Linked DNA regions of Oryctolagus cuniculus. The protein of the gene in region 1 interacts with the protein of each later gene in a biochemical or structural test. Links are inferred from orthologs where the notes say so. Each region holds a gene or a part of one and is shown on either strand. Other genes may lie near its edges. The genes, in order: GTF2I, HDAC3, USF1 and BTK.

The links.
Region 2: the proteins of GTF2I (region 1) and HDAC3 form a complex in vitro, tested with the Homo sapiens proteins (2 studies listed by BioGRID). The link is inferred for Oryctolagus cuniculus from reciprocal best matches to the Homo sapiens genes GTF2I and HDAC3.
Region 3: the proteins of GTF2I (region 1) and USF1 form a complex in vitro, tested with the Homo sapiens proteins (2 studies listed by BioGRID). The link is inferred for Oryctolagus cuniculus from reciprocal best matches to the Homo sapiens genes GTF2I and USF1.
Region 4: the proteins of GTF2I (region 1) and BTK form a complex in vitro, tested with the Homo sapiens proteins (4 studies listed by BioGRID and IntAct, with this or other methods). The link is inferred for Oryctolagus cuniculus from reciprocal best matches to the Homo sapiens genes GTF2I and BTK.

The regions. Positions count from the first base shown.
Region 1 is NC_091450.1:49,716,487-49,723,947, reverse strand, and holds part of GTF2I (general transcription factor II-I), read left to right. Parts: intron 1-2,718; coding exon 2,719-2,790; intron 2,791-3,619; coding exon 3,620-3,803; intron 3,804-4,272; coding exon 4,273-4,331; intron 4,332-5,330; coding exon 5,331-5,405; intron 5,406-6,966; coding exon 6,967-7,068; intron 7,069-7,461. UniProt on the Homo sapiens protein: Interacts with the basal transcription machinery by coordinating the formation of a multiprotein complex at the C-FOS promoter, and linking specific signal responsive activator complexes.
Region 2 is NC_091437.1:29,197,274-29,204,734, forward strand, and holds part of HDAC3 (histone deacetylase 3), read right to left. Parts: intron 4,719-7,461; coding exon 4,637-4,718; intron 4,508-4,636; coding exon 4,451-4,507; intron 4,334-4,450; coding exon 4,278-4,333; intron 3,968-4,277; coding exon 3,834-3,967; intron 3,416-3,833; coding exon 3,335-3,415; intron 2,977-3,334; coding exon 2,903-2,976; intron 2,744-2,902; coding exon 2,679-2,743; intron 927-2,678; coding exon 837-926; intron 733-836; coding exon 674-732; intron 434-673; coding exon 354-433; intron 123-353; coding exon 1-122. UniProt on the Homo sapiens protein: Histone deacetylase that catalyzes the deacetylation of lysine residues on the N-terminal part of the core histones (H2A, H2B, H3 and H4), and some other non-histone substrates.
Region 3 is NC_091438.1:37,750,269-37,758,376, reverse strand, and holds the start of USF1 (upstream stimulatory factor 1), read right to left. Parts: upstream 5,454-8,108; 5' UTR 5,308-5,453; intron 4,984-5,307; exon of another isoform or gene 4,959-4,983; intron 4,766-4,958; exon of another isoform or gene 4,573-4,765; intron 3,461-4,572; 5' UTR 3,376-3,460; coding exon 3,368-3,375; intron 2,989-3,367; coding exon 2,939-2,988; intron 2,784-2,938; coding exon 2,668-2,783; intron 2,345-2,667; coding exon 2,243-2,344; intron 2,152-2,242; coding exon 1,956-2,151; intron 1,712-1,955; coding exon 1,624-1,711; intron 812-1,623; coding exon 753-811; intron 605-752; coding exon 510-604; intron 262-509; coding exon 133-261; intron 1-132. Other genes in the region: ARHGAP30 (rho GTPase-activating protein 30), read right to left, coding at 7,126-8,108.
Region 4 is NC_091453.1:91,375,758-91,383,218, reverse strand, and holds part of BTK (tyrosine-protein kinase BTK), read right to left. Parts: intron 5,121-7,461; coding exon 4,992-5,120; intron 4,669-4,991; coding exon 4,601-4,668; intron 3,825-4,600; coding exon 3,637-3,824; intron 3,230-3,636; coding exon 3,167-3,229; intron 2,642-3,166; coding exon 2,587-2,641; intron 2,301-2,586; coding exon 2,221-2,300; intron 2,056-2,220; coding exon 1,928-2,055; intron 1,227-1,927; coding exon 1,152-1,226; intron 604-1,151; coding exon 432-603; intron 1-431. UniProt on the Homo sapiens protein: Non-receptor tyrosine kinase indispensable for B lymphocyte development, differentiation and signaling. Binding of antigen to the B-cell antigen receptor (BCR) triggers signaling that ultimately leads to B-cell activation.

The DNA.
Region 1 (7,461 bases):
TGAATCCTGAGTGTCTGTTAGTGTCTTAAATGTGTGCGGTCACTCTCGTGAGCACTGAGGGGCCGTGTGCGGTCAGGGTTGTGTGTCCTGAAACAGGAGTGCTGGATCAGCTTTCAGGACGCCTGGGGCAGCTAGTGAGGGTCCGGGCAGCGTGCCGAGGAGTTTCTTTGTGTGTGATGACGTGAAGGGCCATCTTTGCGTAGGGCGGCATGGGAAATACTAAATACTGTGCCGGGGAAGCCCGCAGTGGAGAAGGTCATAGCCCTGTCTAACTGACCCAGAGCTTCGCCCCCAGCGTGCCTTTGCTTTAGGCAAAACAAGGGTGTTGGTGATGAAGATTGGAAGGGACACGTCCTGTGCTAAGGGGACCGTGTGGAGAAGGCGGGTATTCCCAGGGCCTTGCCGTGCCCTGTCTGGACGTGGCGATTGCCCAGAGCCGCCTCCCCCTCCTTGGGGGAGACTTCACGTTCAGGCTCGCGACAAATGCGAGTGCCTGCAGACACTGAGCACAGTCATTGCGTCATTGAAAGAGCGTGCAGGCCTCGGCGGTATTCCAGCTGCCGTGTCGTGCCGTTCTCAGCAGTACTCGATCTGCTGTCTTCAAGCATAGGTCAAAGGCTTGTAACACAAGGAGAATCTTCAAGTTCCCAGTCTTGTGAACAGAGCTTGAGTGTCTGCCATTCTTAGCAGACCTTGGGAAGGAATGGGAGGTGGCTCTTGTTCTGACACAGTGGTGCAATGGCCTGCCAGTGGCCAGCTCGTCACCGATTCCATGACACGCAAAATGTGTTTGTCACTGCCGTCAGAGAAGTCTCCTTAAACATGCTGGGTGCAGGTTGGTGAAAGATGGGTGGCATGGGGCCAGTCTTGCAGCATAGCCGCTAAAGCTGCTGGCTGCAACTCCAGCATTCCATATGGGCACCGGCTGTAGTCCCGGCTGCTCCACTTCCAATCCAGCTCCCTGCTAATGTGCTTGGGAAAGCAGCAGAAGATGGCCCAAGTACCTGGCCCCTGCACCCACTTGGGAGACTCGGAAGTAGCTCCTGGCTCCTGGCTTTAGACTGAACTCATTATGGCCATTTGGGGAGCAAACCAATGGATGGAAGATCTCTCTTTCTCTCCATACCTCTGCCTTTGAAATAAATACATCTGTTTAAAAAAAAAAAAAAAAAGGATGGGGCTGGCACTGTGGCGCAGTAGGTTAATCCTCCACCTGCAGTGCTGGCATCCCATATGGTCTCACACGCGGGTGCAGGGACCCAAAGACTTGGGCCATCTTCCACTGCTTTCCCAGGCCATAGCAGAGAGCTGGATTGGAAGTGGAGCAGCCAGGACTACAACCGGCACCCATATGGGATGCTGGCGCTTCAGGCCAGGGCGTTATCCCGCTGCGCCACAGCGCCAGCCCCTCAAATAAATAAAATCCTTAAAAGAAAGAAAAAGAAAAGGAAAAAGAGGAAGGGAAAGAAGGATGGATGGATGTCACATGTGAAAAAGGTGTGGTTAGCCCAGTGACAGAGTTTGAAGGGGGGAGACGGGGGAGGGTCCCCGGCTCCTGTCTTCCCACACTGAAGGAGCAAATGCGGCGGAGGGCGCTGCAGGGCAGGAGACCGCACTGCAAGGTGGCAGAGCCCGTGGCCCTGGAGTGGGGGTGTCTGGGTGTCTCTGTGAGAAGTCACTGAGATTGGGTTCACACTGGAGGGAGCCTTTGGGCTGCTTTGCAATCCAGAGGGTGCTCTGGCCTTGTGCACCGTGGGTTAAGCTGCCGCTCGGGACCCCGGCGTCCCACACTGGAGAGCTCTTCAAGGCCCGTCTTCCTGCTGCGCGCCTGGGGAAGCAGCGCAAGACGGCCCCAGTGCTCGTGCCCCTGCCACTCGAGCGGGAGGCTGGGTGGAGCTCCCTGGCTGCTGGGGCCGCGAGGGGAGTGAGGCAGTGCTTGGAGGCTCTCTGTGTCTCCCTTTCTGTCACTAAGTCTTTTTAAAAAAGAAAAGAAATCCAGAGGAACTTGACAGCTCGGGCCCGGCTGCAGGGGAGCCAGGCTTCCTTTCCAAGCACAGGCCATGTCAGGAGGGGATTCCCGAGGTGGCCCGCCTTCAGCGGGGGTCTCAGAATTTCCCGAACATTCCCCACCGCCCTTGCCAGCGACCCCAGGACGTGCACTCTGCTCCTCCTCGGCACCCGCAGCTCCGCCCGCCGACAAGCCGCCCGTGCCTGTGTCTCCTGATGGCCTTTTCAGTCCGTTCTAAAGGCCACATGGAAAGGTCGTGGTTGCCTTGCACGGAATGGGCTGGAAAACCGAGCAGCGGGTGGGTGGGGGTGCGCTCAGCTCCCTGGTGCCTGCCGCGTGTTTCCTGAGAGATGCGCTCGTGCGGTTTCGCATCACAGGACACAAGGGCTGGCTGTGTAGCGAGCAAATCCGAGTGCAGGGTCTCGCCGAGCCCGCGTGGGAGCCTGACAGGCCTCCCAAGAGGGGCGTGTGAAAACCGGTGCTTCAGTGCCGCTGCTTTGGTTACACCGCGAGGGAGGCGTGCATTCATCTCCATGCCTGTCTTCTGGTAGAGGGCGAGTTCAGGAAGTCATGTTCACACGCACAAGCTTCTGATTGCAGGGTTCGGCTGAAGGAGGGTGCGCGTCCCGACCTCCGGTCGCGGTCGCGGTCGCACGCGCGCGCGCATGCGCACAGCAGCCGTGCTCACGGGCGTTGTCTTTGCTTTGCAGTCAAGGAGGACTGGAACGTCAGAATCACCAAGCTGCGCAAGCAAGTGGAAGAGATCTTTAACTTGAAGTTTGGTAAGACGTAGTGCTCGTGTCTACTGCCACACGTAAATAAAGGCCGCGTCCACGAGGAGTCTCTTGGGTCAGGACCTGCGTGGGTTCTGGCCTGGTTCTGCCCAACTCACTGCTCACACGAAGCACGCCACCGTGCTCCTCTCGGATTCTGATTGTCTGGTCGGTATGGGGGAGGGGAGGAGGCCATGGGGTGAGTTCCCCTCCTGTGGTCTGCACGTCTGCTATGGCCGACGCTGGCCTGGCACGCGTGTGTCGCCACTGGTTTCGACCTGGATCTGGGGCAGCGGTTCCGGGAGCGCTGTCCGGAGTGGGATCCAGGTGGGATGTATCTGTCATGGCAGAGGAAGGAAGCAGCAGGGCGTGACAGCAGGGTTTTGGGCGTTGCCATCCGATTATTTAACTCCTGGAATTGACATTTTGTGTTTCCATCAGGAGCCTTGAAGACTCTGCCTCTGGTCACTAACGCCCATGCACCCCACACAGCTCCTGTGTTGACATAGCAAACTTGGCGTCCAGATGGCAGCACAGGACGGCCGGGGCCACTGCTGTGTGGGATGGCCTTACTGCATTCTGCCCCGTGTTCCGAGAGCGCTTTGATAACGCAGCCCTACCTTTGATTTAAAGTGCTAAAGTGTCCTCTTAACGAATGCTTGCCTTTTAGGCTTGTTCTTCTTCTGATTTGCACATTGTACTAAGCAAAAGTGTCTTTAGTGTTGAGTGGATATTGCTAGGTTGCAGGGAGCGTGCACAAAACTTACTTGCGAATGCGAGCACAGATGGAGAGAATGTGGGTACAGCTTTATCTTCCATAAGTGGTGTTGTCTTTCAGCTCAAGCTCTTGGACTCACAGAGGCGGTGAAAGTCCCGTATCCTGTGTTCGAATCCAACCCTGAGTTCCTGTATGTAGAAGGCTTGCCGGAAGGAATTCCCTTTCGAAGCCCTACCTGGTTTGGAATTCCGCGACTTGAAAGGATTGTCCGTGGGAGTAATAAAATCAAGTTTGTTGTGAAAAAGTGAGTGGGACTTGCCCTGGAAGTGGCATGATCGGATTGCCTGCCTGTGTGAGTGCTTTTCCAGCGGGAAGGAGAGGCCGGGCTCTGAGCTGCACCCTGGCGAGTCCCCGCCTGTGCTTGCCTTGTGCGTCAGCTGCCGTTCTGCGGCGCTTGCGTGGCCTCTGGGATGGGACGTCTCCGAGGAGTCCCAGACACTTGGGTGGCTGTTGCAGATGCTGTTCTTTCTCTGCTCTCACTCCTGGCCATGGTTGGCAGTGACTGGCTGTCAGTGGCTGCATGGTTGGAGAAACTGAACTGGTGTGAATTTCCTGTCTCATGAACGGAGTCACTTACTGTTCATAAAATCCCTCATCAGATTGTTGAGGGGAGGGGAGGTGGGTTTCCTGCCCACAAAAATGGAAGTCCCTGGGGCTGGGGCGCCTGCGTGAGGCCTGCGCCGCACTGACCGCTGGCCATGTTTTCCTTGCAGGCCTGAACTGGTGGTTTCCTACCTGCCTCCCGGGATGGCGAGTAAGATCAACACTAAAGGTAAGAGGCGCATCTGCTGCTCCCTGTGCCCCACGCATGGCCGCATTCTGCACCCGCGGGCCTCAGATAGTGTTGCCCAACACCTTCATGAGGCCTTGGCTTCATTTTTGTTTTTTCTTTTTAAAGATATATTTTTATTTATGTATTTGAAAGACAGAGTTACAGAGAGGCAGAGGCAGAGAGAGAGAGCCTTCATCCACTGCTTCACTCCCCAGATGGCTACAATGGCCAGAGCTGGGCCGATCCGAAGCCAGGAGCCAGGTCCTCTGGGTCTTTGACGTAGGGGCAGGGGCCCAAGCACTTGTGCATCATTGCTGCTTTCCCAGGCATATTAGCAGGGAGCTGGATTGGAAGTGGAGCAGTCGGGTCTCAAACCAGCGCCCATATGGGATGCCGGCACCACAGGCAGCAGCTTTTACCTGCTATGCCACAGCGCCATCCCCATTTCTTTGTTTTTTTTTTTTTGGTTGGGTTTTTGTTTGTGTTTTTAAGATGGATTTTGGGGGGGGGGGGCGGGGGATTGATTGATTTGTTTGGAAGGCAGAGTGACAGGGAGCTTCCATCTGCGGGTTCACTCCCTAATTGGCCGCAGTGGTCAGGAGCCTGGAGCTCCATCTGGGTCTCCCACCTGGGTGGCAGGGGCCCAAGCACCTGGGCTTTCCCCCACTACCTTCCCGGGGTGCTGGTAGGGAGCTGGATCGGCAGTGGAGTGGCGGGACTCACGCCCACACCCCAGCGCGGGAGGCGGCGTCTCAAGTGACGCGTTAACCCGCCGCGCTGCTCTGTGCCTTTTATGGTGTTTACGTAGTGGCTGCGTTCTCTTGTCCACCATGACGTGTCCGCGGCCTCCCGTGCTGCCGTCTGCAGCTTTGCCAGGGCTCGCGCAGGATCACGTGCTGAGCTTGCTCTGAGGGCCTGGCCGAGGGCCGCGGGTGGTGGCGGCGCCCTCTCCCGCTGTGGCCTGGCAGTGTGCGAAGCTACCGTGTGCTTGTCTTCCAGCTTTGCAGTCTCCGAAAAGACCACGGAGCCCCGGAAGCAACTCGAAGGTCCCTGAAATTGAGGTCACCGTGGAAGGTGAGGCCGCCATCTCTGCCCAGTCTCGGTGTTTGTAGCTAAAAGTTGAGGAGCCCTTGAGCGTGCTGTCCGCAGTCGGCTGTGTGCTGCTCTGAGGAGAATCCCCAAGTGCTTCTTCCTCTAGGACAGTCAGGTGCAGAGAGCAAGGCGCAGTACTGCTCTCTTCTCCTCTGGCTCTCTCTCCTTTACAGGGACCACCGTTTAGAGATGATTTGCATGGCGGTGGTTAGGGCTGGTTTAGTTGGTGCTGGTCAGGGGTGGTGTAGCCGGCAGTGCCTCGGGGCCGGTGTTGCCGGGGGTGGGGGTGGGGGGCGAGTTAAGCTCCTGCTGATGTTCCTGGGGCAGCAGATGGGGGCTCAAGCACTTCAGCCCCTGCTCCCCAGTGGAAAACGCGGGTGCAGTTCTTGGTTCCTGGCTGTGGCCTAGCCCAGCCTGGGCTGCTTTCTGCTTTTGAAATAAAATAAATAACCTTTAAAAAGAAGTGGGTAAGTAGCAGCGCCACCCCGCCGTCTCCTTCCTCCTCCCCCCTCCCGCTGACCCGTGGGGTCCCGTGCCCAGGTTTAGTGCTGAGGTACTTGATGCAGAACCACCCGCTCTCGGCCAGCCGTGGGGTCGGTGTTTCCTCCCGTCTCCGTCAGCATGGCACGCTGCACCCTCCATTTCCCGTGTGTAGGAGGATTTGCAGCCTCGATCTTGAGTGGGCGATAGTCTCCCGCCGTGACCTTGTGGGTTGGAAGCTGTTTCCCCACTGAGAGGAGAGAGGTGTGCACCGCGCCCATCCTTTCCCCTCAGAGGCGCCGGCAGTTTCAAGTGCACACGTTCAGTCCCTCGCTGCTCTCTTCTGGAAAGTTCTGAGGGTGTCTTTCCTTTCCTGAAGGAGCCCCTGGTTAGCTGTGAGTGCATTGGGGTTCTTCTGGGTGAACGGGAACCCGCCCCTGAGTCCATCAGCACTTGATGGGAGGGGTCCATGCGTGGCAGCAGCAGTTAAGTTAGGCTTCGCTGGATGGCTAGGACTTAGGGGCTGGCGCTGTGGTGTGGCAGGTACAACCACCGCCCGCGGCACCGGCATCCCACAGGGCACTGGCTGCAGCCGGCGAGCAGTGTGCACCGTTAACAGCTAGGGGTCTGTGCGCAGCTTACTCGCCAAGCTCAAGTGCTGGGGCTCGGTAGGACGCTAACTGGAGTGGAAGCCCAGCGCCTTACCGACACCTCTGCAGTGAGGACGTCGAAGCTGTGGCTCGTGTCCGCGGAAGGCTGGTTCACGTCCAGGTGGAGACAGCGGGGCCGGGGGTGTGCTTCTGTTAGGGGCCAGCAGGAAAGTGCAGAAGCCAGCACAGGCTGCCAGCGTGCTGGGCGCACTGATGCTGCGCCAGTGTCCAGTGGCTCGGGTCAGCCGGGAACGAATGGTCCTCGGCCTGTGGGCGGGTGTCTGCCCTGGGAGTGCCGTGTGCGCCCCCTACTCGGCCTGGTTTCCAGCCCAGGCTGGCAGCGGCCCCCACAGCCAGGGTGGAAGCCTGACTGGCGCGTGGGGACCGTGACTCTTTCTGCAACTCTTCCGTAGGCCCCAACAGCACCAACCCTCCGAGCTCGGCTGTCCGGACGCCCACCCAAACTAACGGCTCGAACATTCCCTTCAAGCCTCGGGGGAGAGAGTTTTCCTTTGGTAAGTGCGGGTCCGTTCTCAGTATGATGAGTCAGGACACTGCGTTTTGTGAGGGCACTTGCGTTCTGCGTGGCAGACCAGAGGCACCAAGTGGTGTTGAGATGCCTGAGCTCCGGTCTGATGCCAGCGCCTCGCGGCTCTGTGACTGTCGCTCTTGTCTTACGGGCAGAGCGGAGGCAGGGCCGTGTGCTCCACAGCGTGCCGGCCACAGGGCAGGCTCTGTGACCTGGAAGGAGACAGCGTTTGCTCTTAGCCACCGCCTGGTAGCGGCATAAAGCCTAGGGTGGCTGCCAGGGCTCAGCCGCGTCAGCAGCCGATGGAGCGTTTTTATTTTGCACCGCTTAAAAATGCAGAGTTAGAATCGGGTGAAGCACCCTGCCTGGGAGTGCGTGT
Region 2 (7,461 bases), on another chromosome or scaffold:
TCAGCCTCGTCCGTCCTGTCGTAGGTCAGGAGGTCTGCAGGCACGTCATGAATCTGCACGCTGGGCGCGTGGTTCAGCATCTTCAGGTTTTCAAAGATTGTCTGGCGGATCTGGTCCAGATACTGGATGGAGGCCAGGAGCAGATGGTGAGCAGCTCCCCGTGATTCCCGGGACACACTCACCCTTCCAGCTGGTTTTTAATCTCCAGGGTTCTTCTAGTTCAGGCCCCCCAGCCAGTAAGTGCCCTCCCTGAAACCCTCACTGCCTCGGCTGTAGCTTGGCTGCTCCTAGCTCACAGCCCCATCTCTGCCAGGCTCTCCCACCCTTGTGCTCAGCTTCTTGGAGCTGCTGACCTGGCGTGAGTTCTGATTCTCGATGCGGGTGCTGACATCTGGATGCAGCGTGAAGTCCGGGGCAAAGTACTCGAAGTATTCTTGGGGAGAAGGAATTAGAAGTAGGGCTTGGACCCAACAGGCAGGTCCCAAGCCTTCCCAATTGCTTGTCTTCCCGCTCAGGCCCCTTAGAAAACAGCTGCCCAGTGCCTTCCCTCCTCTAAGCTCAGGGGTTTAGTCTTCAGAGCTCTGAGCATAGGAACTTGCCCATTTGCCCTCACACTAGGCCTGGGGTCTGGGGAGGACGGCCTTCAGGGGAAGTGTCCAGGGGTAGGCCTTACCACTGTAGGGGAGCTCTTCACTAATGGCCTCTTCAACCAGTAGTGATGTCTCATACGTCCTGAAACCAAGCAGCAAAGCAGGCTAGACTGACCAGTAGGTTGAAGGGCCCTCCTAGCTTACGACGGACTACGGGGAACGAAGGAAATCAGGAAGGGCACTCACCAGCAGCGGGCAACGTTTCGGACAGTATAGCCGCCACCACCCAGCACCAGCAGAGGGATATTGAAGCTCTTGACATATTCAACACATTCTCTGTCAAAAGGAACCAGAGAAACGGGTGGAGGAAGTTACCAAGAGCCAAGGCATACTCCTCTAGGTACTGTCCGCAAAGAGGCACAAGGTATGTACAACGTTCCATATCATGATCTGGGGAGTGCAACTCCCCAGGTTACATCCTCAAGATCTGTAATTTTTTTTAACATAAAAATTTGAAAATAAAGTAGACCTCCACCTTTGTCCTGTTCAACACCCTCTCTGGCAAACCACCTGTTAATCAACTAGTCTCCTCAGTGTACCAGCAAGTTCACAACAAAACTCAAGGGGCAAGTGTTTGGCCCAGTGGTTACGATGCCTGCATCCCACACTGGAATGCATGGATTCAGTTTCTAGCTCCGGCTCCTGGTTACAGCTTCCTGCCAAGGCAGAGCCTGGAAGGCAGCAAGTGATGACTCAAGTACTTGGGCCCCTGACACACACATGGGAGACTTGGATTGAGTTCTCAGCTCCAGCTTCAGCCTGCCTCATCCTGACCATTGTGGGCATCTGGGGAGTGAACCAGACATGGGAGGTGTCTCTCTTTCTCTCTCTAACAAACTTTTAAAACGAAACTCATGTCGCTGCTTCTCACAGTCACCTCCTCAACCTTAGTCCAGGTAGCATTTACCCTGCCTAGCCAATGCCAGTGGCTTCCTAAGGGATCTTCCCACCACCACTGCTGTCCCCACTCCCACCCCACACCTTTCTCCACTAAGCAGTCACTTGAAAACACAAGTTAGGTCACATTACTTCCCTGCATGAAATCCTTCATCCCATCATCTTTGGAGTATAATTCAAACTCCTTTCAAAGGTCTAAAGGCACCACACACTGTCACCGCAGCCCACTCCCTGGGCCTCACTGCTTTTATTTCTTCTCCTCCACTACCCGAGCTCTTCCCTGCCTCAGAACCTTCCGTGGGCCCTCTTACTGCCAGGACAGGCTTCTCTGATAACTTTTTTTTTTTTTTTTTGGACAGGCAGAGTGGACAGTGAGAGAGAGAGACAGAGAGAAAGGTCTTCCTTTGCCGCTGGTTCACCCTCCAATGGCCGCCGCAGCCAGCGCAGCGTGCTGATCCAACGGCAGGAGCCAGGTACTTATCCTGGTCTCCCATGGGTACAGGGCCCAAACACTTGGGCCATCCTCCACTGCACTCCCGGGCCATAGCAGAGAGCTGGCCTGGAAGAGGAGCAACCGGGACAGAATCCAGCGCCCCGACTAGGACTAGAACCTGGTGTGCCGGCGCCGCTAGGCGGAGGATTAGCCTAGTGAGCCACGGCGCCGGCCTCTGATAACTTTTTAACTTGGGCTTTCTTGGCCTCCAGGTATCAGCTCAAATTTCAACCCTTCAGAAAACCCTTTCCAAATCATTGCTATCTGAAGTCATAGGTTTCCCATTGTCACCCTACGTCACATGGTAAACCCATCCTTCATGGGATTTATAATAATCTAGTAATTATATTTGTGTTTCTTTTTTGTGTGTGTTTCCTATGCTATTCTATAGACTCCACGGGCGTTTCCTCATTCCATTCCCATCACTGGTACAATGCCTGGAACGTAACAGGTGCTTAATGAAAACCTCTTGTGAATGAATGACCATCAAAGGAACCCTGTTTAGTGTGATATTTCTAGTTTAAAAGTAGCTATTTTTCATTCCCAAGAAGTGGTGAGGCTTATTCCCAACCACTTCCACTCCATGTGGCCCCAAAGCCACTTGAAAACCTGGGAGGGGGAAGGAGGGCAAGTCTCACCCATGTCCTCGGATGCTCAGGTTGAAGCAGCCCAGTCGATCACAGCCCAGGGAGTCAGCTCCACACTGCAAAACCAAAACCCCGGGTAGCTGCCGTCGGATCACCGGCCAGAGCATCACGGTGTCCTGCACTCCCCTCCCGCCACCCACCGGGGGACACGCCTCTTCCCCGCTCTCTTTCCTCAAGCCCAGGAGAGCCCTCCTGAGGAGGCCTGGCAGCATTACCTGCAGCACAATGCACGTGGGCTGGTAGAAGTCCACCACCTGGTTGATAACTGGCTGGAAAAGGTGCTTGTAACCTGGGAGAGGGCCAAAGATGGGCACCTGGCACCCCAAGGGGATGGGGAGACAGGGAACAAAAGGAAAAGGGGATTGAGAGAGCATGTAGCCCGGGAAAGGGGCAACCCAAAGTCTCAGACCACTGGATCCACACCCCCGAAGGGGGTCCCAGACCGCGATGAGTGGCTGATAAAAGCTGGTGACCCTCTTCCCAGAAAAATGCACATACACACAGTATGCCGCATAGTCTCTAGGGGTTCACAGCCCTCCTGAAGGCCATTCACCCACCTGGCCCAACAGTAGCGAATACCAGGCAAAAGCCGTCACTTAAGGAGAGAAGAAGGGCAGAACCAGCAGGGAGAAGACGCCGACACTTACTCTGATCGTCAATGCCATCCCGCAGGGGCACGTTCAGACAGTAGTAGCGGCCACTCTCTGCTCCCACTTCATACATGTCACCTATAGGGAAGTGCCAGGGGTAGCCGTGCCCACAAAGCACCCACAGTCAGCGGCACCACCTACATCTCCCTCCACCAGCCTGCACCCATTCAACAAATATTCTGCTGAGGGCCTACCATGAGCCAAGCTGTGTAGCAGGCACTGGAGATAGAAGACCTAGCAGTGAACTACACTAATGACATTAACACCTGCCAAGCTCGTATTTACCCTCGGGGGAGGGGCCGCATGAGGAGGAGGAGACAGTAAAGGAAACGACACGAAACACCACGGTAATTACAAGCAGCAGTGAGTGCTCTGGGAAAGAAACGGGGTACGGTGACAGAGAGGGGAGCAGGAGGTGATCTCTGTGACGCCGGGACATCTGAGCTGGCACAGGAAGGCCAAGCAGGCAGTGACAGCAGCGGCCCTGTTCCCATACCTGTGCCAGGAAAGAAGTAGTTTCCATATTTGTGGAAGGACACCGTCATGACCCGGTCGGTGAGGTAGAAGGCCTCCTGCACGCCGTCACCGTGGTGGATGTCAATGTCAATGTAGAGCACCCGGGGGTGGTACCTGGGGTGAGGGCAAAGCCAGGCTCTGGGGTAGGGGCGAATCCCCAAACCCACTCCACCTAAACACGGGACAGGGAATTTTGAAGACTCTACTTCTGCCCAAGCCCCCTGAAGCCCAATCCCACCAGGAGGCAGGGACAGGAAACAGATGTGCAGAGATGGCTCAAACGCGAGCAGGCAGCAGTGAGTCTGCAGCAGAGCAAGGTAACAGGCAGCTTGAACTTGGGAGAAGTGAGCTGGGCAGGAGGAAGTCAGGGCCAGGGTGGAGTGTGAGGGACCTCCCTTGCCAAGAGTCTCCCCCGGCTACTTACTTGAGCAGCTCCAAGATGCCAATTACAATGTCATTAACGTAGCAGAAGCCAGAGGCCTATGGCAAGACACTGGTCTTAGGGAGATGGGCGACTCTCCCACCCAGCTGCCTCCCACTGCCATCCCAACCACCTATCCCAGGGGGCTACCGCCTCCCCCTCACCGCCTCCCTTACCTCAAACTTCTTGGCATGGTGCAGACCACCAGCCCAGTTAATGGCAATATCACAGATCTGAAAGACAACCATGCAACTCACAGCCCTCCTCCTCCCTCTGCCCAAAGCTGGGAGCACAGGATCAGGCTGATGGCCCTGAGTCAGAGCCCCACAGGAAAGTGGGAGAGGACTTGGGGGCCACGTCACCTTGTTGTTCAGCTGAGTTGCTCCTTGCAGAGACGCACCAGTGTAGCGGGAGCAGAACTCAAAGAGCCCGGGGAACACAGGGCTGTGGGCAAGAGAAGCTGCTGGAACGCCTTTGCCTCTGTGCAGGACCCCTCTTCTCCACCCTCCTCACCCACACGCCCCCAGTCCCCATTTGTCAGCAATGCCAACTGGGATAGCTGCAAATTCATTCAGTAAATACTGTGCATCAAAATGTGGACCAAGCCCTGTGCAACGCACTGAATGGTAGGTAAAGGAGCAATTAACTCTGTCAGGAAGTTGGCACCCCAGCTGGGGACAGAAGCAAACAGCTTCGAGGTTCTTGAGTATACAGGAAAAAAGAAACACACTGAGAGCACGTGAGGTCTGCTTTCCTTAAAAGAATCTTCCATGGGTATCACCCTTTAACATAACGTTTAATAGTATCCTTTGCAGTCACACATTACAAAAAGTGATATGTATTCTTATATGCAAGGACTAGGAATAATGAGACAACCCACAGAGAGCCGTCAGCTCAGTGTGCGGCACCTGGTAAGCCTGTAATAAATGCTTGCCATAAGTACTGTCATCTTCATTCTTTATAAAAAGGAGAGGCTTAAAGCCAGACACAAAAGGCTACATACTGTATGACTTGATTTATATATAGCATTCTGCAAAAGGCAAAACATAAGAACAAAACATCAGATCCAGGGGCCAGCATTGTGGCATAGTGGGTAAAGCTGCCACCTGCGATGCCAGCATCCCATGTGGGCAACGGTTTGAGTCCTGACTGTTTCACTTCCAATCCAGCTCTCTGCTAATGCACCTGGGAGAGCAGTGGAAGAAGGCCCAGGTGCTTGGGCCCCTGCACCCATATGGGAACCCAGAAGAAGCTCCTGGCTCCTGGCTTTGGTTTGGCCTAGTCCTGAGAGATTTACAGAGACAGATCTTTCATCCACTGGTTCACCCCACAAATGGCCACAACAGCCAGGGCTGGGTCAGGCCAAAGGCAGGAGCCGGGAACTTCATATGGGTCTCTCACATGGGTACAGGTGCCCATGGACATGGGACATCTGCTGCTGCTTTTCCAGGTGCATTAACAGGCAGCTGGATCAGAAGAGGAGCAGCCAGGGCTCGAACTCACATCCACACAGGATGCCAACACCGGTATCACAGACAGGGACTTAACCTGCTATGCCACATTGCCAGCCCTCTAAACCTGACTTTTAATAAAAAGGAAAAGCATGAGGCTGATGTGGCACAGCAAGCTGAGCCACCACCTGTGACACCAGCATCCCACATCAGAATGCCAGTTTGAGTCCTGGCTGCTCTGCTTCTAATCCAGCTCCCTGCTGATGTGCCTGGGAAAGCAGCAGCAGATGGCCCTAGTACCTGGGCCTCTGCCACCCGCGTGGGAGACCTGGATGGAGTTGTAGGCTCCTGGCTTCAGACTGGCCCAGCCCAAGCCATTTAGGGAGTAAGCCAGCAGATGGAAGATCTCTTTCTTCCTCTCTCTCTCTCTCTCTTTCTCCCCTCCCCCTTCAAATAAATAATATATATATATATATACACACACATATTTAAATAAAAGGAAGAGATTAAAAAGTCCCTAGTTCGAAAGTTCCTAGTGCGAAAAATGGAAATATAGTGAATTTTATAGTTTCTCAAAGGGTTTGGAAGAATTAGTGATTTGTACCTAGAAAACAAAGCACATGGGGAAAAATGCAATTAGTAGCTCCAGGAAAAACAAAAGTCATTCAAGAAAACAGATTAAATCGCACTTTGAAAGGGTACTGTAAAAACTCATGGGAAATGGGGGCAGGCATGTGAGACAGCCATTAAGAAACCACTTGGGATACCCTCATCCCTTATCAGCCTGCCTGTGCATGAGTCCCAGCTCCGCCCCCAATTCTACCTTCCTGCTAATGTACACCTGAGAAACAACAGGTGACAGCTCAAGTACCTGGGGCCTTGCCACCCATGAGGGAAGCCTGACAGAGTTCTGGGCTCCTGGCTTCAGCCCCGCCCAGCCCTGGGTGCTGAGAATATTTGGGAAGTGAACCAGCAGATAAGGGCTTTTTCTCTGCCCTTCACATAAAAGGGATTCTGTTTAAAATTAAAATTTTTTAAAGTCGTAGAAGGTAAGTTTATTTTGGTTCAAAAACTTTTTGAGGGCTGGTGCTGTGGTGCATTGTGTTAAGCCACTGTCTGTAGCACCAGCATCCTATATGGGTGCCAGTTCAAGTTTCAGCTGTCCCACTTCTTATCCAGCTCTCTGCTAATGTGCCTTGGAAAGCAGTGGAAGATGGCCCAGGTGCTTTGGCCCCTGCATCCATGAGGGAGACCTAGACACAGTTCCAGGCTCCTGGCTTTGGCCTGATCCAGCCCCCATTTTTTTTTTTTTTTTTTTTTTTTTACTTATTTATTTGACAGGTAGAGTTATAGACAGTGAGAGAAAAAGAGACAGAGAGAAAGGTCTTCCTTGTGTTGGTTCATTCCCCAAATGGCCAAAACAGCCAGAGCTACGCCAATCCGAAGCCAGGAGCCAGGTGCTTCCTCCTGGTCTCCCATGCAGGTGCAGGGCCCAAACACTTGGGTCATCCTCCACTGCCCTCCTGGGCCACAGCAGAGAGCTGGACTGGAAGAGGAGCAACCAGGACAGAACCAGTGCCCATACGGGATGCCGGCACTGCAGGCAGAGGATTAACCTACTGCGCTACAGCACCGACCCAAGCAGCCCCCACTTTTGTGGCCATTTGGGGAGTGAACCAGCAGAAGGAAGATTCTCTCTCTGTGTGTGTTTCTGTCTCTTATCCTTCCTCTGTAAT
Region 3 (8,108 bases), on another chromosome or scaffold:
GGGAACACTGCCAGCCCCCCCCCACCCCGAACCCATTCAGAGGGTCCCCTGGTGAGGCCCTCTCCACGGATGATGCCACAAAGAATCTGAAACCAGCTCTGCGGCTGCGAGGGGGACCGGGGGGCGTCGGACCTGCTGTCGAAGCACATCGTTGTCCAGCTGCAGCTGGTCGAGCCCCTGCAGCTCCTCAGACAACCGGTGGTTACTCTGCCGAAGCTCCTGGATGTAATCACAAGCTTTGGACAGGATTCCACCTTTACTCTGCAAGACAAAGCCGACCAAATGAGGTCTAGCCTTGAAGACATCTGGCCTGTCCAAAAGCATGCTCACGCTTCGGACCTCACTGTCCCCTAAGGATGGCACCGTGACACCTCCCAGAGGCACAGGACCCTCGGAGAGAGGGAAGGGAAGACCACTGCCACGCTGTGTCCCTCTCTCCACCATTTCTGGAAACGATACCAGGAGACAGAATTCAGGCGGCCTGCCCACCACCAGGGCCTTGCCATGACCTGGCCAGACTTGGTGCTCTCCATGGAGCAGTCTGGGATGATCTTAGACAGCTGCACAATCCAATTGTTGATCTTGTCTCGGCGGCGGCGCTCCACTGCGGGGCAAAGTGACTCCGTGAAAACTCACCACAGCCTAGGGTGAAAACTACCTAACCTCCCCTCCCCCAGCCCCGCCCGCCAGATGTCCCTGCTGCCCCCACTCCCACACAACCGCTCCCTGCTTCACACTCAGATCCAGCTCACCTTCGTTGTGCTGAGCCCTGCGTTTCTCATCCCGAGTCGTCCGGGGGGCCTCTGACTTCCTGACAACAGAACCCAGGGTGGCCGGAGTAAGGACGAGGACTAAGATGAGGGGCTGGCACTGTGGTGCAGCGGGTGAAGCTGCCGCTGGCAACTTTGGCATATCTTATCAGAGTGCTGGTTTGATGCCAGGCTACTCTGGCTTCCAATCCAGCTTCATGCTAATGTGCTTGGGCAAACACCCCAAGATGTTGTGGGCCACTACCACCCATATGGGAGACCAAGATGGAGTTCCTGGCTCCTGTCTGACCCAGACCTGGCTATTGTGGCTATTTGGGGAATAAACCAGAAAATGGAAGATATCTATTCTTTCTCTCCCTCTCTCGCTCTGCCTTTCAAATAAATAAGTGAATCTTAAAAAAATTTTTTTAAATAAAACTAAGATTAGAGTTTGGGGTAAGGCATTAAACAAGATTCAGCAAGTGTCAAGATGGCTTATGGGGAGGGTGTTGTGGTACAGCAGGTTAAGCTGCCTCTTGGGACACTCACATCCCTTGTCAGGGTACAGGTTCAAGTCCCAGCTACTCTGCTTCTGATCCAGCGTCCTGCTAATGCACCTGGCATCAGAAGGCAACAAATCATGACCCAAGTACTTGGGTGAAGACCCAGATGGAGTTCCAGGCTCCTGGCTTTGGCCTGGCTCAGCCCTGGCTGATGCAGGAATTTGGGGAGTGATGGAAAGTTGATCTCTCTCTCTCCCTCTCTGTGTCACTCTGCTCCCTCTCACTCTTCCTTTCAATACATAAATAAATCTTTCCAAAAAAAAAAAAAAAACCACCACTCCTGGTGATTGAGAAGAAATGGGATCACTCACGGGGAATACGGGTGGGTCCTAGGGGCGATGGAGCGCTGGCTTCCCCCCTGCAACACTTCCTGTGGTGACATCATCACAAAGAACTGACCTGTGAAGACGCAGGATAAACTGTGTCCGGACAAACCTGGCCACATGACCATGCCCTGAGGCCACGACCCTGGGATCCTCCTCTGAAAAGAACAGGCTTCCTCCTGCTAGGAGGGGGGCCAACTCACTGCCTTGCCCGGGGCTAAGGAATCAGGAAGGGTCAAGAGTGAAGGCCCACTGCCCACCAGCCATGTCCCATGGCCTCTCCTAGCCCCTCCAGCCAGCATCCTCACGCGATATCTCACCAGTGCCAGGAGGGGTTGCCTGCCCCAGTAGTGCCTCTGAGCCCTGGGTAGTAACAACAGCAGCTGTACTCCCCGATGTGGTACCTCCTGCCCCATCTCCCACTGCAGTGCTGGGGAAGTAAGTATAGTGCGTCTCAGCAGCTGTCCCCTCTGTGTCAACCGTATCATCACTGGTGAAAGCACCCTGGATCACGGCCTGGAGAGGAGAGCAAGAGGACAGAGTCCAGTTCCCTTCTTCCTCTCACTGCCCGGAGATCTGGTCACCAGCCCAGCCCAGACTGCAGTACCTGGGTCATGGACTGAGTGGCAGGGTAGCCACTGATGGCGCCGGTACCCTCAGTCTGGCCGTCCAGTTGCCCTTCAGACACCTGGATCACCCTGTACATCACCTAAAAGCGAGAGGAAGAGGGCGGGAGAAGAGAGAGGAGTAAATGCTGGGACTCCCAGGGCACTTCGCAAACTTCTCCATGGGGAAGGCCCCAAAATAACACCCTCGACACAGTCAGCCGCTCTCCCTTCCCTCCCTGTCCCAGGGCTTTAGCATACCCCTGGCTCACACCAGGCTCTACCCCAACTCTCATATCAGCCCTCCCACCATAAGAGTCCGTATTTCCCCCTCATCCTCCAAGCCACATCTTCCCAACACATGTTCCAAACCTCCCTCAACCCCAATCCCAAGTAACACCTGCAGCCACCTGGCTCCTCCCCTTACCTGGCCCCCATTCTCAGTTCGGAAGACGTACTTGACGTTGGGGTCAGGGAAGGTGGCAGCTGACTGGATGCTGGCGATAGCCACACTGGTTGGGTCCTCCCCAGTAGCTACTGCACCTGAAGTAGGAGAGCAAAGGAAAGGTCCCTGAGTTAACTGCCTTTCTCCTTCTGTTCCACTTGCACGACACGTGGAAGGAGGAAGGGCGCTCGGGAGGTGGCCCAGTGGAGGGACAGGTGCCATCATGGCTCTCAGTTCCATTTTTAACACTCACCTTCCTGAATCTGCACTGTCCCCTCTTCCGTTTCAGCTGTTTTCTGCTGCCTGTTTGTGGTGAAAGAGCAAAAGAAAGAATAAGGGAAGAAGGGAGTGAGAAGCTACTGGCCCAGTGGCAAAGAACTCCCAAATCCACTGGCATCCATAACAGATGCTGGGTTACGTGAGAATAACAACTAGTACTTACTATGCATGTAGGCTTCAAGCTAAGCATTTAACATGTCCTGTCTTAGTGAACACTAACAGCACTATAAGGCAGGTGGCACTACCTCCATTCTACAAATGGGAAACCAGATCACACAGCTGGTAGGGGACGGAACTGGACCTGACTCCAGGTCTGTCTGCCCGCACAGCCAGTGCTCTCAGCGTCTGACGCTCTCCCAGGCCAACCATCTCTCACCCCAGACCCTACCTCTGCTTTACTCACCCCTTCATCTCTCTGTGAGGGGGCACATCCGAGGAACTGGTCCTTTTTTTGGAGTCTTCGTATCTCCTGATTCACAGGCCTGAATACTAAGTCCTGGTAGAAATCACGGAGTTTGCAGTGAGTGTTGGACTGAACAGCCTCCCTAGACTTGGGATCAAGGCTCCGTGAACACACAGCCAGGAAAAGAACCCAGTCACCTGCACCTGCAAAGGACAACCAGCTTCCCCCATTCCAATGCTGAGGGCCGGTCTGTTGGAAAACGCAACCCTACAAATCGAGCTCCTCACCCCTTCATTATCACCCTGACTCTTGGTGGAGAAGGGGTCATTATACCGGAAGGCTGAGAAACAACACATTTCTCAAAGGATTATTATTAAAGCTATCATGATCTCCCACAACAGCAGCTTCAAGGAAATTAGGGAGGGCCATGTTGAGACCAGCATTACCAAAACACAAGGCCATGGACAGTCATGCTTCTTCCAGGTTCTCAGCTTCCAGCTGCCTCAATCCAGGGAGGGGACACAGGAACCCACCACCACTGGAAAACGGATGCTAACCACAAAGACCTGGCCCTTGGGCTCCACTCTACTGAAAGGGCTCTTATCTGGGCGCAGGGGGTGCCCAGATTGGTATCATCCCTTAGAGAACCTAACATCCAAGTGCACTAGCTTCAAGCCTTCTTTATTATTATTCATTAAGCCTTCCTGTAGAACAACACAGTTGCTAAAACGTTGCCATGACAACTCCAAATCAACTGAGCCTCACTAAGGAGGGAAAGAAAAAAAAAAAAAAAAGCCCAGGCTTAGGCTTCCGAAGAAGAGACAATGGAGGAGGAACCCATCTAGGAGGTGCCTGCCTTAGGACCCTGACATGCAGCCAGACGACAGAAAAAAACAAAGGGCTAAGCGGGCAGATGCCGAAAAGAAACAGCCGGTACAAAGCAGTAAAATAATCCCAACACGAAAGGGGCAAGATTTCTGTAAATTCTGCATCCGTGAGTTTCTCCTGGCCTTTTCTATCCCAGGAAATATCCTCAGCGGAGAAGCCCTGGAGAGCCCGTGGCCAAGGAAAATGGCAACAACAACAACAACAAAAAGGAACTGAAAGCGAAACTGTCCGAAGGAAGTAATGTTGCAAGGAGATCCCAGCCCCGCAGGAGAAGTAGCCCTGGTGTTTTGGGACCACCCAGGTCTCCATCCTCCAACCTGAGTGGGAAAAGTGCCCCTCCGAGGCTCGTCGCGCCGACTGCAGGAGGAAGCAATGAAAGAGAAGGCAGGGAGTAGGAGGCGCCTCTATCGCCCACAGCTGTCAGCCAAGGGCGGTCTCCGAGGACACCCCGCAGCGGGGTCGCGCTACTTCTTCAACCCCGCGCTGGACATCCGGAAGCATTTCCTGAGCCTTCGGGAGATGGGAGACACGGGAACCGGGATAGGATGTTGCGCTGTGCACGCTCAGGCAAACGAGGGCCCAGCGAGACCCCTGGCCGAGTCTGGACACAAAGCGGGGTGGGGGTGGGGGATGCAGCCTGGAAAGAAACCAGGCCTGAGAACAAGGCGTCTCCCCGAAGGCCCACCGAGCAGCAGGCGCTCACCGAGCTGAGCGCCCGCCAGGCGCGCGCCCCGGAGCCCGCGCCGTGACCCGGCCAGCCCAGCCGCGTTCGCCCCGCGCCGCGGCTGCTTCGCAGAGCAGGCAGGGAAGGGGCGCCGGGAGCTCGGGGGCCCGCAGCCGCAGCCCCGCGGCCGGACAGCGCAGGAGGGCGGGGAGCGGGTTTGGCCCACAAAGCGGGATAGCAAATAAAAGAACCAGGCACGGTCCCCTCCCCCAAAACAAAGGCTTCCTCCCCCAAGAGTTTCCCATCCTGAAAAACGGAAACTAAATCAAAGCGGCCCCGCCTTGCCGACCCATCCAGTCTCCACACTGCCGTGTGGCCCTGCACTCACCGGCCCAGGCCGTCTCAGCCGCCGATTTCCCCCCGACCGTGTTCTCCCTCTCCCGACCCGAGTCTCTCCATAGACAGCTGCTCATGCGCACTGCCGGCCCTGGGCCATGTTGGTGAGGGGCGGAAGTGTCTCTCTCGACCCGCCCCGCCCACTTACAGCCCCTGAGCCGCTCCACTTCCGCTCGCTCCATCTTGCTGAGGGCTGGAGGGATGGGAGCGTGGGGACACGCTCGGAGGGGTACTGCTGGCGAATGTCGCTCGAGGCCTGGCCACTTAGGGCGGGAGCGGGAGAAGGGCGGCTAGCGTGTGCTGCCATCTCTGTGCTTGGCAGAGCTTTTTTGATTCCGGGAAAAGGGAATGGGGCGGCAGGCGGGGATCAAGGAGGGCCGCCAGACGGAGGCGCCATCTTTAACAAGGGCTATTTGGGAGGCCATCTTGGATAAGGGCAATTTTTTTAAGGGTTTCCTACAGGAGATGGAGACATCTCAGGGCATAAATAGATAGATCTGAGCATACCTCCTTTCTGTTAGCGTCGCTAGTCACTCACCCGAGGCTTACATTTTGCGAGAGGATTGATTCCCATTCTTCCTAATAGGTTTGGAGTAGGATGGTATAATGGGAAAAATTAAGAAACCAGGCCATTTAAACCTGGTTCTCAAATCCATCTCTTCTACTTATTACCGCTGGGATCTTACAAGCATTTTTACTTAATTGAGCCTTAGTTTCCTCATCCGTAAGATGGAGCCACCTATGTGTACCTACCTTACAGAATTGCTAAGTGGAATTAATACACAAGACTACCCAGCCCGGTTCCTGGCACATAATGAACATTATGTAAATACAAGTTTCTCTTCCCCATTTCCTGACCACCGCTGACCCCAGCTCTAGTTTTTAGCCTAGTCTCCATGACAACTGAGAAACAGCCCTGAACAAAGTAGGGGAAAAAAAAGTTTGGCCAAATATATGAAAATGTGATACCTATCACCCAAGGTTTTAGTCAGAATAATGAGACTCCACACTGTTTATGTGTAAAAATACAACTTTTATTCTGCAATACCAACCCCTTCTAGAGTGAGACCTGTGCCCTCCACCTGTCTGGAGAAGCAGTCCCAAGAACCTGAGTGAGGCCATCCCCATTTTCTGAAACAGGAGGGCATTATTCCAAAGGAAAAAGGAACGGCCAGAGAGATGTGCACAAGACCTTTCCCCTGTAATATACGGAGAGGCAGATGGAGGGGAAGGGAGGGGTCCAGGCCATCTTTCAAACACTGAGGACTTCAAAGAACTTCCTGGACATACTGCTAATATGGAGCTAAGAGGATCGGGAAGTATCCAAGGATGTAGGGATGGACAACTAGTGTGTGTGTGTGTGTGTGTGTGTGTGAGAAAGGGGGGGGCGGAGGGAGAAGCTCTGAGCTGACCCAGTCCTCACCTCTGTCTTGGGCTTCTATAAAGAAGCCTCCGAGGAGAGCAGGAACTTGTCTGGAATTCCCCCTCCATTCTTCGCTTTGAGAAACTTCTTAAATTTTCTGCCTAACGTTATGTTCCCCTTGGCCAATGACGCTACTCCCTGGGAACAGGATCTTGGTGACTTTTTTGGAAAATCTCCTGAGAGATAAGTAAGTGCTCTAAGTCTGAGACGAGCTCAGGTATACCAGCTGAGAAAGTGCCTCCCACAGTCAGAAACAGAAGCTGGAGGACCAAAGTTCCATAGAGTGGGGCACTACAGCTGCTCAGGCTACAGAAGAGACAGCTAGCCAGGGACCCCAAAGATTCCAGACAATTTCCTGGTCCCTTTGGCCCAATGTTCTGGTCCTAATCACAGTCTCTCACCTTTCTCGTGGTTAGCCTGTGTTTCAAATGCATATGACCGGCGCTGGGGGCACATAAGGAGATCGGGGGGCTGGGGATCTTTGAGGGGCAGACTAAGCCGACTCCGGGATCCAGGCCCTTCTGTGCCTTCAGGTGGGTGTTCCAAGCAGCTAAGGGGCCGAGAAGGATGGGCAGGGATCGTGCTACAGAGGGAGGTTCTGGGAATGAGGCTGTAGTCCCCACCCCCAGTACATGTCTGGGTCCGCCGGACTGCCTGAGCCTCAGTCCTCTGGCGGTCCCGGGCCATGGCCACAGCAGCGTCGAAGGAAAGACTGCCCCCATTCCTCCAAGAGGATCGGGACGCTCGGGACCCCCAAGCCCTTTCCCCAGGAGTCCCATCAAGGCGGCCAGGCCTTGGGCATGGGTTTGCAGGGGCTACATGGATCTTGCTGCACATTGCACTGGGCATCTTGGCAAACTGTGGCTTGGGGGGCACCACGGGCACAGAGTGGACCTGTTGGACCTGAAGCAGGGTGGAAGCCAGGCGCATGCCCACACCGCCTGCTGAACCAAGGGAGCAGGCGCACAGAGCATCACCCTCAGAGCTGGGCTGACCATCAGGCTCCAGCTCCTCTGGCTGGGGTGGCTGGGGGGCTACCTGTTCCGTATCAGAAGACTGAGCATTGCCCTCTTTGGCAGCATCAGCCTGCAAGAACTTCATGCCCGACCCCCCAGAGAGGGCCCCCTCTTCTACACGGTCCCCTCCCGCGCTCTGAGCTCCCTCAGCCACTCCACGCCCACTCTCCCGTTCCTTGCTAAGCTCCCTTTCTCCTCCTTTGGCTGCTGTTGCTGAATTTCTGCCATCTTCGCCATCTCCTTGGTCTTCTCTTGTCTCATGGTTTCCATTCCCCTTCTGTCCTTTGACCTCATCCTCTGTGCCTCCATTGACCTCTTGTTTGTGTACAACTTCCCAGTTCTCCTCAGCAGCCA
Region 4 (7,461 bases), on another chromosome or scaffold:
GAAAGGGGTTGGCCTTGGCCGAGAGCACCAGATAAGGGACTGTAACAGTGAGTTTACTTTCCTCCTTCCCACCCCAAGCCCCAAAATTGCCTAAGATGTGGGGTGATCTGGGATTTGGAGCCCATCAATGAAACAGGAAACAAGTCTGGGGGGTGAAAGAACACCAATGCTAAATTAGAATCAGTCTTTCTTTTGAAAGTCTCATTGGCTACATTTGCCCCCAAATGCTATTGCGATTGTACATTACCATGACCAACACTATTCTCAACCAATATCTAGGACAAATAAATGATTATTTCAGCAGTTAGGACACCCACCAATCAGAAGTTGACCCCAGTCCTTGGTCCCAAATCTCACTGTAAGTCACCATAAACCACCCTGGCTTGCCCTGGGAATTTTTAGATTGAGAGTTGAATTTGGCTGTAACTCACATCATAACTTTGGCTTCTTCAATGAACTCATCCTCAGACATAGAGCCTTCTCTGATCATCTTGATGGCCACGTCATATCGGCCTCTCCACTTTCCATACTTCACTACCCCAAATTGTCCAGTCCCCAGCTCCTTCAAGAAGGTCAGGTCCTTTGGATCGATTTCCCAAGATCCTAACAACAAAGTCATAGTGTGAGTCCTTGGGGTTCATATATATGCAGTTCTTATCATATATAAGAATCCTTACTGAAGTAGAAATAGGAAAAGTAGTAAAAAGGAAATTCTCAGGAATATTAATTTATTTTTGCTGAAGTAAATCTTGGACAGGGTTACTGGTTGGAGGAATCTAGAAATTTTAGGTACAAGTTGGCCAGAAAGTAAGAAAATAGACAACTTCCACAAATCCATTTATGATTATTTTAATGCTGCTAGTTAATAAACTCAGGAATGGTCTTGAAACTTTCTACTAGGATTAAAAATAAAAGAGAAAAAGACCCTCACCATCAACAAACCCCTTTATGAAGCTACATTTTTGCAGTGCCAGTAGGAGCCACTAGAGGGAGAAAATCATTAAATAACTCTTGCTTGGTTCTGTCCTTAACCTTCCTTGAAGCAGCTGAGGTAGGACAGTGCACCTCAAGGTCACTTGCTAAGGCAAGGTCTGTAAAGGTAGGCCTTGCAACTGGCCAGTTTACTCTACTGCAGAGAAATAAGCGGTTACCGTAGCCCAGGCCTGCAGTGGAAGGTGCGTTCTTGTTTTGTTGAGACACTGGATATTTGAGCCTGGATATGAGTCCTGTAACATACAGAGAGATCATGCTGTTGGTGCAGCATAGAGGATGGGCTGCTTCCCACATACTCACTTAAAGCCTCTCACTTTCAGTATGCATCTCTCTAGCATATTTTAAAATCCCAGGAGATCTTTACAAACCCACATTTTTCTGAAAGTTTCTTCTCTCACAAAAGAGCTTTCAGAGAGAAGATAAGAAAATGCTATTGAAATACACCCCATCCCAACTGAATATATTCATACCTCCCAGCCCAGGCTTAACTCACATCCTGTCTTCTCAATGAAGCCTATCCCATATATGCATGCCAGGTTTTATTATTTCTGCACTACTCAGAAATGATGTTGTCTAACATGTATGTTCTTTGTGGACAAGGATCTTGACTCAGACTTTCCCTGCAATCTCCTTTAGAACAGAGGGAATTGCTGAGTACATAGCAGGAACTCAAAAAAATATAGCTGACTGGTTCATCACCAGTCTCCTCTGTGTCTTTCCTTGGCACTGAGTTTCAGTAAGAAGTCAGCACCAATTTGGGTGTAAGGTTGGCCTTTGACCACCTCTTGACAGGACCCCTACCTGACTATCCAAGGATTTACGTTCACAGCTCATTCAACTGCCCTGTGAGGTATACTCTCCCCCTGGCCATCTTGTCCAGAATTGCTTCTCCTGGCGTTGTCACATCCTTCTTCTTGGCTGCCCCGGTACTCACCTGCAGAGTTATGCTGATGATAGTTAATGAGCTCGGGGATGGTGCTGAAAAGGTGCTTCTCAGCCAGGTAATACTGGCTCTGAGGCGTGGAGCACACAACATAATGGCGTATCACTCCTTGCGGGTCCCTAAAGAAATGGCTGCTTAGTCAGTGCCTTGGGAACAAGGGGCAGCAGGACCCAAGAGGTGAAGGGAGGTGAGTTTTGAGTTCAGGAGCTAGAGGAAGTAGGAGGGGCACACCATTAAGGAGCTGTTGGGAGAGCACCCTGTCCATGAACAGTAGTAGCACTCACCCTGTAGATTTAGCAAACACAGACACGGTGTATTTTCCAGCTTTGCTGGAGTCTCTGACAATAAAACCTCCTTCTTTCCCCTGAAACAACAAAAAAGAAGCTGAACAAAGGAGGAAGTAGCATCCACACCGGCATCCCACTTGCCCGATCCTGAGGCAGAATAGAAACGATTCATGATTTTACTGCCAAGTTCCACGCTTGAGCTGTAGCTGCACTGATTGGGATACCGCAAAGCGAATTGGTACCACAGATGATGGCGCCCTTGACGCCGCCTTGTCTGAAGATGGAGTACAGAGCAAGCCCTCCATCCAGGATCCTCACTCACTGAACAAAGGGAATGCCGTTTGCTCATGGTCATGCACTCACCTCTTGCTTGAGCAGTTGCTCAGCTTGACTCCGAGTCATGTGTTTGGAATACCACCTGTGGGAGGAGAGTTCTTGAGCGGCTCTGGGGCCCCACTGAAGGCAGCTCAGAGGTCCGAGTGCTCTCCAGGGTTGGTCCCTGCCAGGGGTTCAATCATTGCACTCAAACTCTTTCTTGAGTGCCTGACAAATGCACATCACATGTTGTCCCTTTCCCAAACCCAGGTTGGCACTGCAGACTCATGGGAATGGTGCACAGAGGGCAAAGGTAGATAGCAGGGGTTTCAGGGGAGAGTTCAGGGACTGGGGCACTCAAAGTGAGTGTCATCAGGCTGTCAACCCTTTTCTTTGAGTGTTATTCTTCTGGGTTTGAGGGCATGGTGCCCTCCCAGCTCTCATAAGCAGAGGATGTTCAGGGTGAAGGCAAGACATAGGCACTAACTTGGGGTGGTGGCATCATTGGAGCAGTCGGCACTAATTTGAACATGTATCTTGAAATGAAAACAATTTTGTCAAATGGGTAGAAAAGTATATACTTTGTTCCTCCTGGAAGATTGTGTGCTGGGAGCACAAGCATACTCACTCATACATTTCTATGGAGTCTTCTGCTTCGGTGACATAGTTACTAGGAATGTAGCCTTCCTGCCTGTAAAGGAGACAACGTAGCAGATCGTCCAACACTTTCCCATCCTGGAGAAAACAATTCATATGCCCATACTTCTGAGCTCAGAACCAGTTCCAAACAGAAGCCTGTAAGTCACTCTTCTCTCTCGAAGAGGACCCTTTTTACCATGCATGGTTAGGCCAGTGAAGGGTGCAGCTTCTGCACATGTGGTGTTGGTTATCTGTGCACTACAACAGAGGCTCAGAAAAGGGGCAGAGGCCATGTGTAGAACTGCATGCTGGGAAGTGCTTGGAAGGAGAGCATATTCTCTTTGGTGTCAGAAAAATCCTCTCTGATCAGGAGAGTGAGCAGGACAATTATGCTGCAGCATTTGGCATGTGTGTGGAGTGGGCAGGTACAAGGCTCAGGAAGGGCTGGCATGAACTCACCCGTTTTTATCCCGTGCTCGCCACCATGGTAAGTTGCTCTCCTCCAAGATAAAATACTCATCACCCTTGCGCAGTTGTAGGTCATTGGCATTCATCGGCATGTAATCATAAAGGGCTACCACCTTTTTCAGCTCACTTGTGCTGACTGGTGCTGCTGTTGGCTCAGGGGGCAGTGGCTTTTTCAAGATCTGTGCAGTAGTTAGGAGAAAACGTAAGGGAGGTGGCTACATGGTAAGCACTCTCCTAACTCTTCCGCTTACTAGTGATGCCATTCTAACCCAAATCAAACGTAACACAAGATTTATTCTACATTCCTTTAACACCATCTTTGGGCACTAAAGCAGGTGTTCTCAACCTGGGATTCACATGAAGATCACCTGGAGAGAGTTTAACACTCCCGAAGCTCAGGCAATTCCCCACATGCCAGTTGTGTCAAAATCCCTGGGAGTGGGACCAGGCATCAGTGTTCAAAGCTCTCTGGGCAAAACCCACATACAGCCATACTCAGGAAATCTGCTTAGCTCTCAACTGGTAGGTGGAACTAATAACTGACTTAATAATACCTGCCCTACCTCCTTATGATATATGAGAAAGGTCAAGGAAAAAAAAAAACCCAAAACTCAAGTGTGAAAGTAAAATGTTAGCGGTAGAATCTAAGTTTTGGGTATATGAGTGTTCAGGGTTAAATTCTTTCAACTTTATGTTTGAAAATACTTTTCACTTAAAAAGTAGGCTTTGTTTGAAACAGGTGGTTGAATTAAATGGTCGCCAGAAACTATCTAATAGCCCTCTATCTTTCCGTTGAAGAGAAAGTTCTAATTAGAAGGAGAAATCTGTCTTGGCAAGAATACTGATGAACACTGCCTAGTTGCAGTGGAATTCTGGGACTCTGGAGTGTTTCGTTTTCATGGTTTGTTTGTAAGTTTCCATTTAAATACTAGCAGCACCCTATATCCCGGCATACCTGGTCCTCCTCAGGAGTTGGAGGAAGAGGCTTTTTTGTCTTTCTGTGAGAACTCCCTGGTTTTAAGCCTGCAAAACAAGAAGCCAGTGATGACAAGGAATGCATTTTAGGAAAGGGCCCAGGGATAGACTTGCTCAAGGACTGTGCTGGAGTGCACAGTGCCTTTAGGCAAGATAGAAAAAAAAAGGTCCAAATAGATAGAGTCCCCCAGGTCACATGGCTTAGAGAACAGATCACCATCTAAGATTTCCATTCCCAGTAACCGCCTCTGCCAGGTCTATTTGTGCAGTGGCCAAAATGTACTATCTTATGCTTTGTCCCTGGGTTTGGTACAGCCCCTTATTGAGAGTGAGTCAAAGGAGGAAGAAGTTGTATTGATCAGATCTCTTACTTCCATTCCTGTTCTCCAAAATTTGGCAGCCCATAGCATTTTTGGCTGTCTGAGAGCAGCAGAGATACTGCCCATCGATCCAGAAGCAAGGGTGGTATTTCTGAACCAGATCACTGTTGTACCGGATTACTGTAGCAGAAGAGAAGACAGAGACATCATAACTGACACAGGGAATCCACCGTTTGCATGTTTTCCTCTCTGATGTGCTGAGCTCCAAACAACTGCCCCTCCCCAGCCACCCTGAAGAAAAGCAGACCACAGGGCCAGTTGGCTCACATGATGAGAGCCTGTGCCCTGGCACTGGACACTTCCTGTCTGGTTCTTGCTAGCGGTCTGTCATCTCTGACCAACATGATAAGACTATCTGATGGCTCCAGGGCCCAACAGAAATATTATCTATATTTTCCCAGTAGCCATTATCTTTTTTTCTGTAAGGCAGGTGTTGATGATGGTGCTCATTTTCCAGATAAGGGAAACAGTATGCCCAAGACAAACTCTCACTCCAACTTGTATTTTTTTTATTTTACTTTATTTATTTTATTTGCAAGGCAGAGAAACAAACATAACCAGAGACACACAGAGAGACCTCCTATCTGCTGGTTCACTCCCCAAATGCTTGCATCAGCTGTGGCTGGGCCAAGTTGAAGCCAGGAGCCTGGAACTCAACCTATGTGATCTAGGTGTCCACATGAGTGGCAAAGATCAGCTACTTGAATCATCAGTTGCTGCCTCTCCGAGTGCACATAAGCAGAAAGCCTAAATGGAAAGTGGAAACGGAACCCAAACTTGGGCACTTCGTTACGGGATGCTGTGTTCTAAGCTGAGACTTAACCAGTGTTCTGAACGCCTGCCCCTTACTCCAGCTTTAAAAAAAATTTATTTATTTTCATCTACTTGAAAGGCAGATACACACAGAGACAGAGAGAAGGGAGATATCTTACATCCATTGGTTCACTTCCCGAATGCCTGCAAACAGCCAGGGCCAGGCCAGGCCAATGCCAGAAGCCCAAAACTTCATCTGAGTCTCCTATGTGGATGGCAGGGGCCCAAGAACTCGGGACCATCCTATTCTGCCTCCCAGAATGCATTAGCTGGAAGCTGGACCAGAAAAGCACAGAGTAGCCAGAACACAAACGGGGCTTCCAATATGTGATGCAGGTGCTCCAAGTGGCAGCTTAACTTGATGCACCACTATGCCTGCTCCTACCCCCTACTTTTAACATAGCAATTTCCCAGTTCCCTGAGTGATCTTTTAGGAACATTTGCCTTAGTGAGAACTTCTGTATTGGGCTGTCTATATTCATAGAACAGTCAATAGAGCTGAGCCCAGGGGGAGAAATGAAAATGATTCTGTCCAGTCTTTCTAGGATTCCTGAGCTGGGCTGAGCCCATTGCCAAAGATAAAGGCAGCAGCTCCATTTCCCTCACAGAGCCATGAGGCTCAAAAGAGCTCCCAGAAGCCAAAGTATTTTGCAAAGAGTAGATTGCAGCTAGGATGAATTAGTACCACTGTTACTAATACTATGGCATCTTGGGGCTGGCACTGTGGCACTTGGGCCCTGCCTTGGTGCTGGCATCCCATACGGGCACCGGTTCAAGTCCTGGTTGCTCCTCTTCTGATCCATCTCTCTGCTTGTAGCCTGGGAAAGCAGTGGAAGATGGCCCAAGTGTATGGGTCCCTGAACCTGTGTGGAAGACCTGGAAGAATCTCCTGGCTCCTGGCTTTGGAAGCTCTGGCTGTTGCGGCCATTTGGGGAGTGAACCAGTGGATGGAAGACTTTTCTCTCTGTGTCTCCCTCTCTCTGTAACTCTATCTCTCAAGAAAATAAGTAAAATATTAAAAAAAATACTGTGGCATCTTGAGAATCTTATCAGGAAGTGAATGAGAAAAGTCATCCAGAGCTCATGGTGTCAGATACTAGGAGAAGGGGCCAGCATTGTGGCATAGCGGGTAATGCTACTGCCTGTGACACCAGCATCCCAAATGGGCAGAAGTTCGAGTTCTGGCTACTTCTGATCCAGCTCCCTGCTAATGTGCCTGGGAAAGCAGCAGAAGATGGCCCAAGTGCTTGGGCCCGTACACCCACGTGGGAGACTTTGATGAAGCTCCTGGCTCCTGGCTTCTGCCTGGCCCAGCCCCAGTCATTGTGGCCATCTGGGGAGTGAACCAGTGGATAGAAGATTCCTCTCTCTCTCTCTCTCTCTCTCTGTGTGTGTGTGTGTCTCTTTCAGTAACACTGGATTTCAAAATAAATTTTACAATCTTAAAAAGATACTGGGAGAAGCAAAGACGATGGAAACGACTGACTGTAGTGGGCACCAGGGCAAGAACAGGCACATTTGCGTACATTTGCATGTCAGCAGTTATTGCAAAGAATCACACATAACTTAACAAAAAAGACAAAAACCAAAAACTTTCCACTGTAGAAAACAGCTCAAGTCCTTCTCTCCAGTAGATAATTAGACGTGA